Anolis sagrei: one gene and its partner. The protein of the gene in region 2 purifies or fractionates together with the protein of the main gene of each other region. This does not show direct contact. Links are inferred from orthologs where the notes say so. Each region holds a gene or a part of one and is shown on either strand. Other genes may lie near its edges.

Evidence for each region. Proteins that work in one complex are often made in the same cells at the same time.
Region 1: the proteins of CDH2 (region 2) and CTNND1 purify together in Homo sapiens (affinity purification with western blotting; 6 studies listed by BioGRID and IntAct, with this or other methods). This does not show direct contact. The link is inferred for Anolis sagrei from reciprocal best matches to the Homo sapiens genes CDH2 and CTNND1.

The regions. Positions count from the first base shown.
Region 1 is NC_090021.1:234,377,115-234,384,742, reverse strand, and holds the start of CTNND1 (catenin delta-1), read right to left. Parts: upstream 3,015-7,628; 5' UTR 2,425-3,014; intron 1-2,424. UniProt on the Homo sapiens protein: Key regulator of cell-cell adhesion that associates with and regulates the cell adhesion properties of both C-, E- and N-cadherins, being critical for their surface stability.
Region 2 is NC_090024.1:57,239,941-57,247,581, reverse strand, and holds the start of CDH2 (cadherin-2), read right to left. Parts: upstream 3,003-7,641; 5' UTR 2,381-3,002; coding exon 2,297-2,380; intron 1-2,296. UniProt on the Homo sapiens protein: Calcium-dependent cell adhesion protein; preferentially mediates homotypic cell-cell adhesion by dimerization with a CDH2 chain from another cell. Cadherins may thus contribute to the sorting of heterogeneous cell types.

The DNA.
Region 1 (7,628 bases), on a different chromosome or scaffold from region 2:
ATCTCAAGCTTCCTTTGTGTGAAGGGAGGAGATTGTTTCTTTCACACAGGCAGAAATGCAGAATCTCTAGCATTTCAGAAAACATTATTATACTGCCGGGCGGGTGACTGCCGGAACTGGCCCACCACACACTGTGCTGTGGTGAGACCCCGAAGGTATGAAACCCCTCCCCTGCTCCTTTTTGAAGTGCCTTTGTGTTCATGCTCCGGAGGGAGACAGCCAAGCTGTTTTGTAAGGGGCTTGGTATGGCCCTGGGAGAGTGAGAGAGTTATGACCGCAATTCCACAGCATTATCTACCTCGGAGGAACAAGAGAAGGCACAAAATGGCACGGAGGAGCCAGTCCAGGAATGCAGCCGGCTCCTCCAACAGCTGCCTTCTAAATTCTCCCCTCCTTTTGGAATTCTGTCCATTTGCTACCATTATGTGGTAGAACGAACGCAAAGGCTGTGACAATTGTCCCCTTGCTCTTTGTATCTTAGTCTGGCAGGAACATCTTCCATAGGATCCAGGATCAACTGGGACTGCTTTTTCTGTACCAAGCTGGACCTCCTAACCCTCCAAACACCGGGAAAAGATTCACAGACCTTATTAGCACATCATACTGAACAGGAGTTTAACAAAGACAGGTCTGTGCCCTAATGAAGACACAGCCTTCATTAGGGAGGTAGTAGGAAGACAAACTGGATGGACATCAGTAGAGACAGCTCAATCCAGGGTGGATCTCACAGGCAAGAAAGATACAGATGAATGCTAGACAAGGACCTTTTCCAGGACAGAGATGTTTGAAGCTAAATAAGGGCCTTTCCACACGGCACTATATCCCAGAATATCAAGGCAGAAAATCCCACAATATCTGCTTTGAACTGGGTTATCTGAGTCCACACTCAGATAATGTGGGATTTTCTACCTTGATATTCTGGGATATAGGGTTCTGCGGAAGGGCCCTACGACTCAAGATAAGTCCAGGCTGCCAGGGCTTCCCACGATTCAAGGCACAATCCTGGGATGCACTGAATGCCGATAGGATTATGGCCCAATGCTATGGGATCATGAGATGTGTAGTTTTGCAAGGGGCTCATCGAATGCCATTTGAAACGGCTTTCACTGCCATTACAGCCCAATGTCATGGGGTTGTGGGATGTGTAGTTTTACAAGCGTCTTCTGCCTTCTCTGCCATGCAATGTTTGTGCCACACCAAACTACAACTCCTTGGATTCTGTTGCACTGAGCCATGGCAGTTAAAGCGGTGTCAAACTGCATTAATTCTGCAATACACATACACATACACACACTAAAGAGATACATAAACTCCAGATTAATCACAGCAGATGACCCCTCCTTTAACTAGAGCAGGCGAACTTGGGCCCTCCAGGTGTTTTGGACTTCAACTGTTACAATTCCTGTACTCAGGCCCTTTAAGCAGCCGAGGGGGAAAAGGAAGGGGCCTGAGGCTGTTAGGAATGATGGGAGTTGAAGTCCAAAACACCTGGAGGGCCCAAATTGGCCCATGCCTGCACTAGAGACTCCTAAGGCCAGGTCTCTCTTTGCCATTCAGCTCAATGGGCCACCAAGGAGGGGCAGCTCTAAGAAACCTTAAGCCAAACTCCCAAGCTTGGGACGCAAAGCAAGTTGGTAGAAGACACAATGCAGTGAGCCAAGCTCCACCCCAGGACCCTGAGAGCGACCCACACATCCCTTCGCCTGAGGCCAAGAGGCCCACGCCCTCCAAAGGGAGGCTCAGCCACCAGCACCGTCTCTTTCTTTTGTGTGCATGCATCTACACTGGGGAATGGACACAGTTTGGCACCACCTATTGGGGCTCCAGGTTTGGGGAGTGGCCCTCCTTGGCAGAGAAGAGTGAAGACCTTGGTGAAACAACCAGTCTTAGGAACCATGGCAAAGAAAGTAGTTTCGAAGTGCATTCATTCCACAATGTAGATGCACTCTGCTGTTCAGCAGTGGAACTCTCTACCCCGGAGTGTGGTGGAGGCTCCTTCTTTGAAGTCTTTTAAACAGAAGCTGGATGGCCATCTGTTTGGGGAGCTCTGAATGTGATTTTCCTGCTTCTTGGCAGAAAGGGGTTGGACTGGATGCCCCACGAGGTCTTTTCCAACTCTTACGATTCTATTGAAAAGCTGGCCAAGACTTCACCCCCTTTATACCATTTCAGCTTGATGCCTTTTAGCAAACCTGGGCCCTCCAGGAGTTTTGGACTACAACTCCCGCAATTCCTAACAGCCTACCGGCTGTTAGGAATTGCGGGAGTTGTAGTCCAAAACACCTGGAGGGGCCAAGTTTGCCCTTGCCTTGGTCTACACTCAACATGGAATGCAGTTCCAACCCGGTGCAGTTCTATGCTGGAGCAGATCCAGCCAGAGTTGGCTTTGCACTTCCCCCTCCTCCCCTTCGGCGCTTGGCTTACCTTTGCTTCCTTCTCTTCCTCCAACTCTTCCTTGCTTCTAGTCTTCCTTGACCAATTATTATTCTCCTTTCCTTCCTTCCTTTTCTGCTTAGGAATCGAGTTGGAACTTTCTTAAGGTTTCGAAACAAGAGAGAGAGAAAGGAGTGTGTCTTGAGTTTTCCAGGCTGCCTTTCTTCGCAGAGAGCCACCAACTCTGCTCTCTCTCGCGCGCGCGCGCGCTCCCGTTGTCTCGCGCTCCCTCTCCCTCTCTTGACAACTTCCCTTGGACTGGGCTTGCCTTTGCAAGACCCGCGCGCGTGCAGTTGCCTAACAAAGAATTTAAAGCGCCCCACTCCTTAAAAGAGAAGGAAGAGAGAGAAAAAAAACAATGGAATGGAGGGGGGGAGGTAATGTAGGACTCCCCGCCTGCTCCTCTTCCTCCTCCTCCTCCTCCTCTTCCTGCGGGACTTTTCTCTCCTGGCTGGCTTGCTCTCTTTCTTTCTTTGCTTCTCCCCCTTCCTTCTTCCTTCCCTCCCTCCCTCGCTCGGCTCCAACACCTAAAATGGAAGTTGCGCCCAGCCAAAGGCGAGGCAAAGAGGGAGGGGAGGGAGGGGAGGGGAGGGAGGACCGGACCCCCCTCTTTCCCGGAGTGATGTCAGCTCCCGCCCGGCTCCAATGGGAAGCAGGCATCAATCAGGGAGCCCGCCGTCCAATAGGAGATACCATTGTAGCATTTGAGGGGGGGAGGAAGGGAGAGAGGGAAATGGGACAGGACTCACCCAGAAAAGAAAAAGGAAAGAAGGGGGAATGGCAAGGGGCAACTTCTTTCTGCAAAGGCTGTAAAACAAAAGACATCTATGTTCCTGGCAAATCCCAAAGGAAGGAAAACTTCTTTCAATGGGGAATGGGTGTCGTTTCTTCCCATTCAGGGGTAGAATCAGAGAATGATAGAGCTGGGCCAACCAGTCCAACCCCTTTCTGCCAAGAAGCCGGAAAATTGCATTCAACGCACCCCTGACAGATGGCCATCCAGCCACTGTTTAAAAGGAGCCTCCACCACACTCCGGGGCAGAGAGTTCCACTGTTGAACAGCTCTTACAGTCAGGAAGTTCTTAGAATTACAGAATCCCAGAGTTGGAAGAGATCTCGTGGGCCATCCAGTCCAACCCCTTTTGCCAAGAAGCAGGAAAATTGTATTCAAAGCACTCCTGACAGATGGCCATCCAGCCTCTGCTCAAAAGCCTCCAAAGAAGGAGCCTCCACCACACTCCAGGGCAGAGAGTTCCGCTGCTGAACAGGTCTCACAGTCAGGAAGTTCTTCCTAATGTTCAGGTGGAATCTCCTTTCCACAGCCATGAACTGTAGGAGCCATAGAATCATAGAATTGGAAAAGACCTCGTGGGCCATCCAGTCCAACCCTCTGCCAAGAAGCACAAAAATGGCATTCAAAGCACCCCCGACAGATGGCCATCCAGCCTCTGCTTAAAAGCCTTCAAAGAAGGAGCCTCCACCACACTCTGGGGCAGGGAGTTCCACTGCCGAACAGCTCTCACAGTCAGGAAGTTCTTCTGACTGTGTAGCTAGCTACACTAGAATTAATGCAGTTCGACACCACTTTGACTGCCATGGCTCATTGCTATGGAATCCCGGGGTTAGTAGTGTTGCAAGGCTTCTCACCTGCTCAGCCAAAAACTGGGGTGCCCCACCAAGCTACAACTTCCATAGCATTAAGCCACAACAGTTGTAGTTGGTGTCAAACTGCATCCTTTCTACAGTGTAGATCAAGCATAGACACCCGGCCCTTCCACACAGCCCTATATCCCAGAATATCAAGGCAGTAAACACTACATCTGTGTGGATTCAGATAACCCAGGGCCCTTCCGGACAACCCTGTATCCCAGAAATATTATAGGTATTATTATTATTATTATAGGTAAAGGTTGTCCCCTGACATTAAGTCCAGTCATGCCCGACTCTGGAGGTTGGTGCTCATCTCCATTTCTAAGCTGAAGAGCTGGCATTGTCCGTAGACACCTCCAAGATCATGTGGCCGGCATGACTGCATGGAGTGCTGTCACCTTCCCGCCAGAGTGGTACCTATTAATCTACTCACATTTGCATGTTTTTGAACTGCTAGATTGGCAGAAACTGGGGCTGACAGCGGAAGCTCACGCCACTCCCTGGATTCAAACCTGCGACCTTTCAGTCAACAAGTTTTGCAGCTCAGTGGTTTAACCCACTACGCCACTGACACAAAAACACAGTATGACACAGCAAACGAGATATATATTCTGGATTTCATATCACAAAATCATTATTATTGTTGTTGTTGTTATTATTAATCCCCAACAATACTAATTCTGATTTCATTTGAGCCCAGCTTTTAAAATACGAACTAACATCCTATTAATTTTAATCCCAATGTTTATTTATTCTGGCTTTCTTACAGGACCACCACATTTTTATTCCTTTGTATCCTTGATTTTAGGAAGGAAAGAAACGAGGATGCTACACTGCCTGTAACAAAAGGAACATAAGTTTAGATTTCTACAGCCTTTACATTATTACTTTTATAAATGCATTCAGATTTAGAGACAGCATCGTGCAGCATATTTGTGATGTGCAATCAAGTCTTGATTAGAATTGAGAAGCATTGTTAATGGACAGCAACTGGCAGGCTTTATTTTGCATCTTATTATGAAAATATATTCAAGATTACAATGAGCAATTTACCTTCCCCACCTTCCCCACACCACTTTTCTATTGATATATAGACAGATAGATATATAGTCAGTAATGAGACAAGTATATTTGGAATACTTGCTGAGATATTTTTCATTTTGGCTCCCAAGAATGAACAGTGTTTGTCACCCATCGATTAATGGTGACTCCATACATTTCATAGGAGGTTCTTCAGCTATATAGGGCTTACAGATACAAAGGAAAACAAAAGTGTTGCAACTTCAATAGTTGCACAGGATTTTTTAGCCCATGTTTTTGTCATGCAAGTTATGCATGCTGAAGCACCTTCTTATATGCAATATGTTGGAGCCCCCAGTGGCATAGTGGGTTAAACTGCTGAGCTGCTAAACTTGTTGACCGAAAGGTTGCAGGTTCAAATCTGTGGAGCAGCATGAGCTTCTGCTGTCAGTCCCAGCTTCTCCCAACCTAGCAGTTCAAAAACATGCAAATGTGAAAAGGTCAATAGGTACTGCTCCAGCGGGAAGGTAACCGCACTCCATGCAGTCATGCAGGTCACATGACCTTGGAGGTGTCTACGGACAATGCCGGCTCTTCGGCTTAGAAATGGAGACGAGCACCAACCCCCTGAGTCGGACACTACTGGACTGAATGTCAGAAGAAAACCTTTACCTTGACCTTTGCTAAGTTGCAGGAGACCTATCCTCTTTTTTATGTTCTTCTTTTATTTCTGTTCATATTCTTTGTTTTGGTATCAGGTAATTTTAATTTTGCATTTATAAAACACGAAATATCATCTTGTTGTCTAAATTTATGGGCAAGTACAGGAAGTAGGAGCACTGTGGTGTTCTGTTTTCTGTGTGTCGCCACAGAAACCCACTAGGTCACTTTGGGTATAACCTCCGAGGAAGACAATGGCAAACCCCCGCTGAATGACTCTTGCTGGGAAAGCCCCATGGTGGGTTCCCTTTCAGGGAGTTGGAAACACCTTGAAAGTAAACAACAACCTGGTAATTCAAAATGGAACACCATCAAGGTTTTTTGTGCCTTGGTCATTTGAAAAGAAAGCTTGAGATATACATATTTTTGCTTTCAGGTTGTTACATGGCTTCCGGTTTGTTTCTACTTGGGCAACTCTATTGTACATTTTTCTTGGTCAAGTTTGCTTTTGCCTTTCTCTGAGGCCCAAGATCACCCAATGGATTGCTACAGCTGAGCAGGGATTCAAACTCTGGTTTCCTGGAGTCCTAGCCCAACACTCAGACCATAACACCATATCCTCCCAATGTTTCACGGATGAAAAGTAGAGCACATATGGCCAAACAACAAAATATGGTCAGGCTACCAAAAGTTATAACTGAGGAAGAGCATTCTTCTTGTTGCTGGAGAAATGTTTAGAGGAGTGGTGGTTCTCATGAAAGTTTTCCTTGATTTAAGTCTACTGAGAAGAGGCTTATAGCCATATTGTGGGTGGCTTGGATTCAAGGGTGACATGTATGCCCACTTCGACTCACTTTTGTTCAATTTTGTCCAGTTATTTAATAATAATTATTTATATAACTTTTACCGAGGACAGCTTGAGAAGACATCCTAATTTTAATTGCATTTGGAGCTCATTTCACCACTTTAGCATGAACTTTGTACATTCCTGTAATATAAGCTAGGAAAGCTGTCATCACAAACCAGGGTTAACAGGATTAAAGCACTGTATCAGGACTTTCGAATAGCAAGGGTGAGTACAGTATATCATCTTTCCCCACCCTTCATTGTTCCCTCTTGATTGCTCAGCTGTAACCCTGAAAGTCGCTGGGAGATAAAATGCATTTTCCCAATAGCATTGTATTGTTGTGAGCTGTCCCTCTTGTAATGCAAAGTTTCTGGGAACGTTATCCTCTTGAAAGAGCTATTAAAACCCATTCGTTTTACAAAAGGCTTGTTGGTGGTGATAAAAAGCATCTGAGGATGCTTGCCATAGATGTGGGTGAAACATCAGGAGAGAATGCTTCTGGAACTTCCGAAACTCACAGCAACCCTGTGATAAAAAGTTTCCTGAAATGTATCTTTGCAGATCCCAGTATTTTGAGATTCTCTTATTGTAAGTGTGGCATTGAAACTGGTGGGTAACTGAGCTTCAGGATTGATCACTGCATGTGCATAATTTCTGTAACATTCAATGTTATACAACTTTTCCTATAAAACTGGCAATATGTATACTTCAAGAACATTTAACAGAATTATTATTCTCATTTTTATTATTATTTCTTGCCCACCTCTCCTTATGAGTTAAAAACATTAATACCAATTAAAGTACACAATCCGTTTTAAAAGCATACATATTAAAGTCAGCATTTTAACACTTGTAATTTAAAAACCATCTGAATACCCTGGGTTGTTTTAGGGTTTTCGGGCTGTATGGCCATGTTCTAGAAGCATTCTCTCCTGACATTTCGCCTACATCTGTGGCAAGCATCCTCCAGCCATGAAAGCCTTCGACAATACATCTGAATACACTTGCTGGAAAAGAT
Region 2 (7,641 bases):
TCTGGGATATAGGACTGTGTGGAGGGGGCCCGAGTCCACACTCAGATAATGTGGGATTTCCTGACCTTCATATTCAGGGATATAGGGCTGTGTGGAGGGGCCCTAAGTGTACACTCAGATAATGTGGGATTTCCTGACCCTGATGTTCTGGGATATAGGACTGTGTGGAAGGGCCATGAGTTCACACTCAGATAATGTGGGATTTCCTGCCTTGATGTTCTGGGATATAGGACTGTGTGGAAGGGCCCTGAGTCCATACTCAGATAATGTGGGATTTCCTGCCTTGATATTCTGGCATATAAAGCTGCGTGAAGGGCCCTGAGTCCACATTCAGATAATGTGGGATTTCCTGACCTTGATGTTCTGGGATATAGGACTGTGTGGAGAGGCCCTGAGTCCACACTCAGATAATGTGGGATTTTTTGCCTTGATATTCTGTGATATAGGGCTGTGTGGAAGGGGCCTGAGTCCACACTCAGATGTGGGATTTCCTGCCTTGATATAGGACTGTGTGGAAGGGCCCACAGTTGCAGACTCAGGCAAGCAGTGGCCATGTTTGTTTACTGGACAAGAACAAGAAATCCTGGGGCAGTTGGCAATTCTTTCTGAATTGCTGTGTATAGCTCCCCTCTAAACACGAGTTCCCTTGGGCAAGGAGCTTTTGCCATGCCTCGCTCCAAAATGGAGACCATAATGATATGAATTGGTCTCCTTGCCCAATCTTAACTAGGTTTGACCCAAGATTAAATGGGGGAATCTGTTGGCTTTGGGATGTGTAGGCCCCGCTTTCTGCTATGGCGACGGCCCTCCTTTGGCGCCCCCTGTTGGGCGCGCGAGAGGAAAGGCCTGGAAACAGAGAGAGAGAGAGGCAGGGAGGGAAGGGGCGCGCGCTCGCCCGCCCCAATGGAAATCCCCGCCGCGGGAGGAGGAGGAGGAGGAGGAGGAGGAGAGAGAGCAGCAAGCAGGAGGCGAGCGGGGGAGGCTGATTAAATTCTTCCCGGGAAGGGATTAACGGGCCAGGCAAAGGCTCAGCCCCGCCGCCGCTCTTCTGCTCCAGGCCCGAGGAAAGGGCCGCTCCGGGGAGCACTTCTTCCCCCGCCCAAAAGGGGCAGCCGTGGGTGCAGCTCTACACTGTAGAAGTAATGCAGTTTGACCCCGCTTTGGACTGCTAAGGCTCAATGCTGCGGAAGCAAGGTAGTCTTTAGTCTCCTCTGCCAAAGGAGGAGTGCTGCTGCCTCGCCAAACTACAACTCCCATGGTGCCACAGCACTTAAAGTAGGGTCATACTGCGCGGATTCCACGATTCTCGTGGCAGCGTCCCGGAGAATGTGTTGGAGCCAAAGGAGAGAAGTAACGTCCCCCACGGAGCATGGGAATAGTGTGCCTGGAGACCCCTCACACCCAGGGGAGCTCTCCCCTGAGTGGGTCCGTCCCGCGTGGATTTAAAGTGGATTCAATCTCTACTGTGATGAAGTCCATAGTCACTTAAGAGACCCCGAGTCACACTTCTCTTTCTTGCAAAGGTTTTCCAGCCTCGAGCAACTCACGCGAGGACACTGCGTGGGTGCCACTACCTGGCTGGCTGCTCTCCAGGAGGGGAAGGGGCCCGACCTGCCCGAGGGAACTCTGCGTGGCCTCTTCGACCCCTTTCCCACGCTCCTTCGTAATGGCACCGTGAGCTCCCCACTTCTTTCCATCCCCACCCCACTTTCCACTGTGGAGTGGAAAGGCAAAGGGTCTTTCCACTCCACGCGAGGAAGACCCCCTCCCTTTCGGCGCGCCAACTTCCCGCCGTAACCCTTTGCGGGCAGAGGATGCGTCTACACTGTGGCACGAACGCAGTTTAGCTCCCAGGGCTCATTGCTATGGAGGAGTACTTTGCACTGCTCGGTAGAGAGGGCGAAAGACCTCGTGAAACTACAACTCCCATGACTCCACAGCCTTAAAGTGGCCACAAACTGCAGAACTACCTCTATTATGGTGATGAGCATCCACCTGCTCCTCAAGGACAGAAGAGAGGGATCCTCTCTCTCTATTTCTCTCTCTGTCTCCATCTCCATGCGAACCAAAGGCAGCCTGGGAGGGTCTGCTCCCTCCAGTCCCCAACTCTCCCCCATTGTTCCCCCTCGGATCCGTCCCCAGCCAAGCAAGCAAGGAAGCAAGCAGGCCCGGCTTCGCCTGCGGGGCAACGGGGGTCCGCCACCGCCCTTCGCCGGGAGATGGCCAAGAACAAAAGCGCCCCGAGCCCGCTCCTTCTTCCCTTCCTCCCTCCCTCCCTTCCCTTCCCCTTCTTTACCTGCTGCAAGGCCGCCAGCACCATCAAGAGAAGCGGCGGCAGGATCCTCCGCCTCGGCGGCGCGGCTCCCGCTATCCGGCACATGGAGGCGAGGGAGAGGAGGGGAGAGGGACCCACGGAGGAGGGAGGAAAAGTCCACGGGGCGAGGGTCTTCCTTCCTTCGGGTGATGGAGTCTCCTCCCGGCACTTCGAGGGGGGCCTTATTCCACGCACAAAAGGCGGCGCAGCAGGAGGAGGAGGAGGAGGGCCGAGGAAGGAGATCAACACAGGCGCTGCTGGGTATATTCCACGGGCGATAATAAGATCCTTTCTCCTTGCTCTTCTTCCTTCTGCAGAGCGACGAGCTGGCTTCCTTTTTTTCCTCCCTCCCTCCCTTCTTCCCTCCTTTTCAGTGCGCCTTGGCGCTGCTGCCTCTCCGGCACCGGCTCTGCTGCTGTTTCTGCTGCATGCTTGCCTCCGTCTCCACTTCCTCGCCTCGCTTCCTTCCCCTCCTCCGTGGGTAGAAAGGATAACAATACCGTAGCAAATAGCAGCAGCCCCTGCTTCTTCTTCTTCTCTCTCGGTGTGTGTGTCTCTCTCTCTGCTGCTGCTGCCTCCTCCGTGCGCGCGCCTTGTGCGCCGCCGCGGCTGGCCTTGTGCGCGCGCCTCGCCTTGTGCTTGGCGGCTGCTGGCAGCTTCACCACCTCTTTTCCTCCTCCTCCTCCTCTTCCTCCTCCTCACTGTCTCTCTCTTTCTTTCTCTCTCTCTCTCTCTCTTTGCCGGCCGCACGGACCAATGGGAAAACACCGGCTCCAGCTCAGTCCCAAGCCCTTTTGGACGAAGCAAACGCCCACCATTTATTTATTTTGTTGTTATTGTTGTTTTCTTTGCTCCCCCTGAGCAAAAAGGGTGGGAGAATGGAGGAGTTTATCTTGAGTCCTGAAAGAAAGAGAAAAAGAGGGTCCCAACAAAGCCCCTCCATATATACATACACACACACCCGACTTTTATTCTTTCTTTGTGTGTTAGAAGCAATGACTTGGGTGTTAGGAACAATGACTCCACCTAACCCTATAATGTTAGTTTCAACACAACACAGGGCTGGGAGTATGGAGGGGTTTATCTTGAGCCCTGAAAGAAAGAGAAAAAAGAGGGTCCCAACAAAGCCCCTCCATACATACATACATACACCCTCCCCACACACCCGACTTTTATTCTTTCTTTGTGTGCTGGAAGCAATGACTCGAGTGTTAGGAACAAGACTCCACCTAACCCTATAATGTTAGTTTCAAAACACAACACAGGGCTGGGAGTATGGAGGGGTTTATCTTGAGCCCTGAAAGAAAGAGAGAAAGAGGGTCCCAACAAAGCCCCTCCATACATACACACACTCTCCCCACATATATACACACCCGACTTTTATTCTTTCTTTGTGTGTTAGGAACAATGACTCCACCTAACCCTATAATGTCAGTTTCAACACAACACATGTAGTAGGACTTCTAAGCGTGGACAAAGCCACGAAAGAGAGGGACCAACCCATCAAAGCCCCCTACCCATACACACACACACACACACGGCTTTTCCTCCTTTGTGCTTTTTTTCTCCCTTTGTGTTGGACAGAAACAGAATAGCTTCTTATCCCAACCCTATCCTGCCAGTTTCAACACAGGTGAGGGCAGAGCCATGAAAGAGAAATGGGGAGAAAGAAAAAAAACGTGGGTCTGTGGAGCCGACCCCTCCCACATACATACACACCGGACTTTTCTTTGTGTTGGACAGGAAAAAGGATAGCTGCGCCAACTGAGCCTAACCCTATATAGTGTCAGGTGTAAGATAACACATCCTCGTCTGTGAGGTGTGGGCAAGAAGAAAAAGAGGGAAGGAATGTGGGTCTGGGGGACTGAACCCACCAAAGCCCCCTCCCCATACAGATAGACGTCCACATTGTTGTTTTTTTCTTTTTCTTTGCTGGAAACCTTGACTTATCCCAACCCTATAATGTTAGGACTTTGAGGTGATGGGAATAGACAAGTCCTTATTATTTGACGGGGGGGGGGGGGGGGTTCTCCACACAAGTCCACACCCAACATTTCTTTATTTCTTTGTGCTGGACAAGAAACCATTTAAATCCACAAGCAAAAGTACAGTCTAACGGGAAGGAAGAAATCATGAAAATGAAAAAAAAAATATGGCTACCAATATTTAAAAAACTCTAAAATCTGGGCAATAAAGAAAGAGTAACACTCAAAAAGCAGGGGATTTTCCAGACATGAATCAATCAGGGCCAGCTAACACCTCCCAACAAAGGATTTATGTATTTATTTATTTACTATACTTGTATACTGCCTTTCTCAGCCTTAGCGGTGACTCAAGGCGGTTTACAACAAGTCAGTACACATAACAACTAAATGCAGATTGAACATTAAAACAGTATAAAACCACAATAGAAGCAATAAAAATAATAAAAACCAGTGTCATTATCATCAGCGTCTCCTAGTTAAATAACGTTGTCCAAGTTCCATTGTCGAGTGATTCCATTTCCTGTGTTAGTTACTCTGCATTTGTAAACGCTTGCTCACATAACCATGTCTTAACTTGTCTCAGAAACATTAAGAGTGAGGGAGCCAATCTAATCTCCTTAGGGAGTGTGTTCCATAGTCGAGGGGCCACCACAGAGAAGGCCCTGTCACTCTTCCCCGCCAAACGTACTTGTGAAGAGGGCGGGATTGCAAGCAGGGCCTCCCCAGACGATCCTAAAGTCCTAGATGATTCATAAGGGGAGATGCGTTCTGGCAGGTAAATTGGGCCAGAACCCCAAGGCTTTGAAGCTGCAAGGCCATTCAATGCTAAAATGATCAAGGGCCTAGAGAACAAGCCCTATGAAGAGCGGCTTAAAGAGCTGGGCATGTTTAGCCTGAAGAAGAGAAGCTGTGAGGAGATATGATGACCATGTATAAATAAAGGAGACTAGGACACAGAACAATGGATTCAAACTACAGGAAAGGAGATTCCACCTGAACATGAGGAAGAACTTCCTGACTGTGAGAGCTGTTCAGCAGTGGAACTCTCTGCCTGGAGTGTGGTGGAGGCTGCTTTGGAGGCTTTTAAGCAGAGGCTGAATGGAGGGTGCTTTCAGTGTGATTTTCTTGCTTCTTGGCAGGGGGTTGGACTGGATGGCCCACAAGGTCTCTTCCAACTCTTTGATTCTATGATGAATCAAGATGGCCAATTGCAACATTCACATTTTCCTGAAGCAGACAAGAGTTCTTTCTCTCACCGTGGACATTCCACAGATATATAAACCTCACTTGCCTTGTTTCCAACCTCTGATGATGCCTGCCATAGATGTGGGTGAAATGTCAGGAGAGAATGCTTCTGGAACATGACCTTACAGCCCAGAAAACTCACAGCAACCCAAACAATGACTTGTTTACTCTAACCTATAGTGTCAGTTTCAACATATCACACAGGTCTTGGAAGGGTAGGGAATAAACAAGTCCTTTTTGCTATTTGTCGGGGTGGGAACCTCTGCCTGAAGCCTCATCCATACATATAATAATTTCTGTTCATTTACAAATACATGCCCAACTTATTTTTCTTTTGTGTGGCGGACAGAACCAGAATGACTTCTCCCAACCATATAGTTGCAAACATAACACAAAGACTTGTGGGTATTCTGGGCTGTATGGCCATGTTTCAGAAGCATTCTCTCTTGATGTTTTGCCCACATCTATGGCACGCATCCTCAGAGGTCGAAGAGTTTGTTGGAAACAAGACAAGTGGGGTTTTATATATCTGTGGGAATGTCCAGGGTGGGAGAAAGAACTCCTGTCTGCTTGAGGCAAGGGCAAATGTTGCAATTGACCACCTTGATTAACACTGAATGGGCTTGCAGCTTCAAAGCATGGCTGTTTCCTGCCTGGGGGGAATCCTCTGTTGGGAGGTGATTAGCTGTCCCTGATTGTTTCCTGTCTGGAATTACCCAGTTTTTTTTAGTGTTGCTCTTTGTATACTGTTCTGTCTGTAGACAGTCCACATTTCTCAGGCGTATAGCAGGGTTGGGAGGACAATGGCTATATAAACAAGCACCTTGGTCTCCCTACTGATGTCCCGGTCCTCAAACACTTTGTGCTCCATTTGGAAAAATGCTGCAGAGCTCAGGCGGTGTTGTATTTCAGTGTCAGTGTTGATTTTTGTGGAGAGGTGGCTGCCAAGGTAGCGGAAATGGTCAACAGTTTCTAATGTTACACTATTCAGTTGTATTACTGGCATTGGAGCGGGATTGGCTGGTGACTGCTGGAAGAGCACTTTGGTTTCCTCAACATTGAAAGGCCAAGCTTCTCTTGTGCTCCTGCAAAGGTGTTTAGAGTGGCTTGTAGGTCTTCTGAATGCACACATATGACCATGTCATCAGCATATTGGAGTTATATAACAGATGTTGTTGTGACCTTGGTTTTGGCTTTCATTCTGCTGAGGTTAAATAGCTTGCCATCTGTCTGATAGATGATTTCCACTCTGGTGGGAAGCTTCCCATCAACAAGATGAAGTATCATAACGATCGTTGGGGCAATAACACAACCCTGTTTGACACCTGATTCCACCTTAAATAATACATTGAGGGCGTGGGGAGGTGGAGGGGGAATAAGTGGGTGAGCGAAGTCAGCTTTTCAATACTTGAAGGGACCTCGCCTCCACAGTTTGAAACTGCATTATATGGTCAATGTGTACTCATATAATGTAGCTTATTGAGCTGCTAGACCAGCTAAAGCCCCCTCCCCACAAAAACACGCCAATCCACGCCTGGATTCGATGTATATTGGAATCAGAATGACTTCTCCCAATGCTGTAGAGCCAGTTGCAAGATAAACATACGCAGGATTTGGAGGTGGTGGGAATAAACAAGTCCCTTTTTATTATCTGAGGGGGTGAGAATGCTGGGCTAATGTGAGAAATGCCTATGCAAAGTGGGGAAAATAAGGGAAGGGGGGAAGAAGGGAGGTGTAATTACTTAGGCAATCCCCGATCCCTCATAGTTCGAGGATGATTGTCTTTCAGATCTGGTGTCTTGGCGGTGGGTCCATAGGTAGCTGTGCAGCCCTCTTCTTGATCCGCATTTTCTCCCACAGTAAGGACCTCAGTTTCCAGACAGAAGGCAGTCCCGGTCAGGGTTGGCTTGATGCACCTTCCTCTTGGCATGTTTCTCTCTTTCTCCCTACATTTGTGCCTCTTCGAATTCTGCAGCACTGCTGGTCACAGCTGACCTCCAGTTAGAGCGCTCAAGGGCCAGGGCTTCCCAGTTCTTGGTGTCTATGCCGCAGTTTTTGAGGTTGGCTTTGAGCCCATCTTTAAATCTCTTTTCTTGT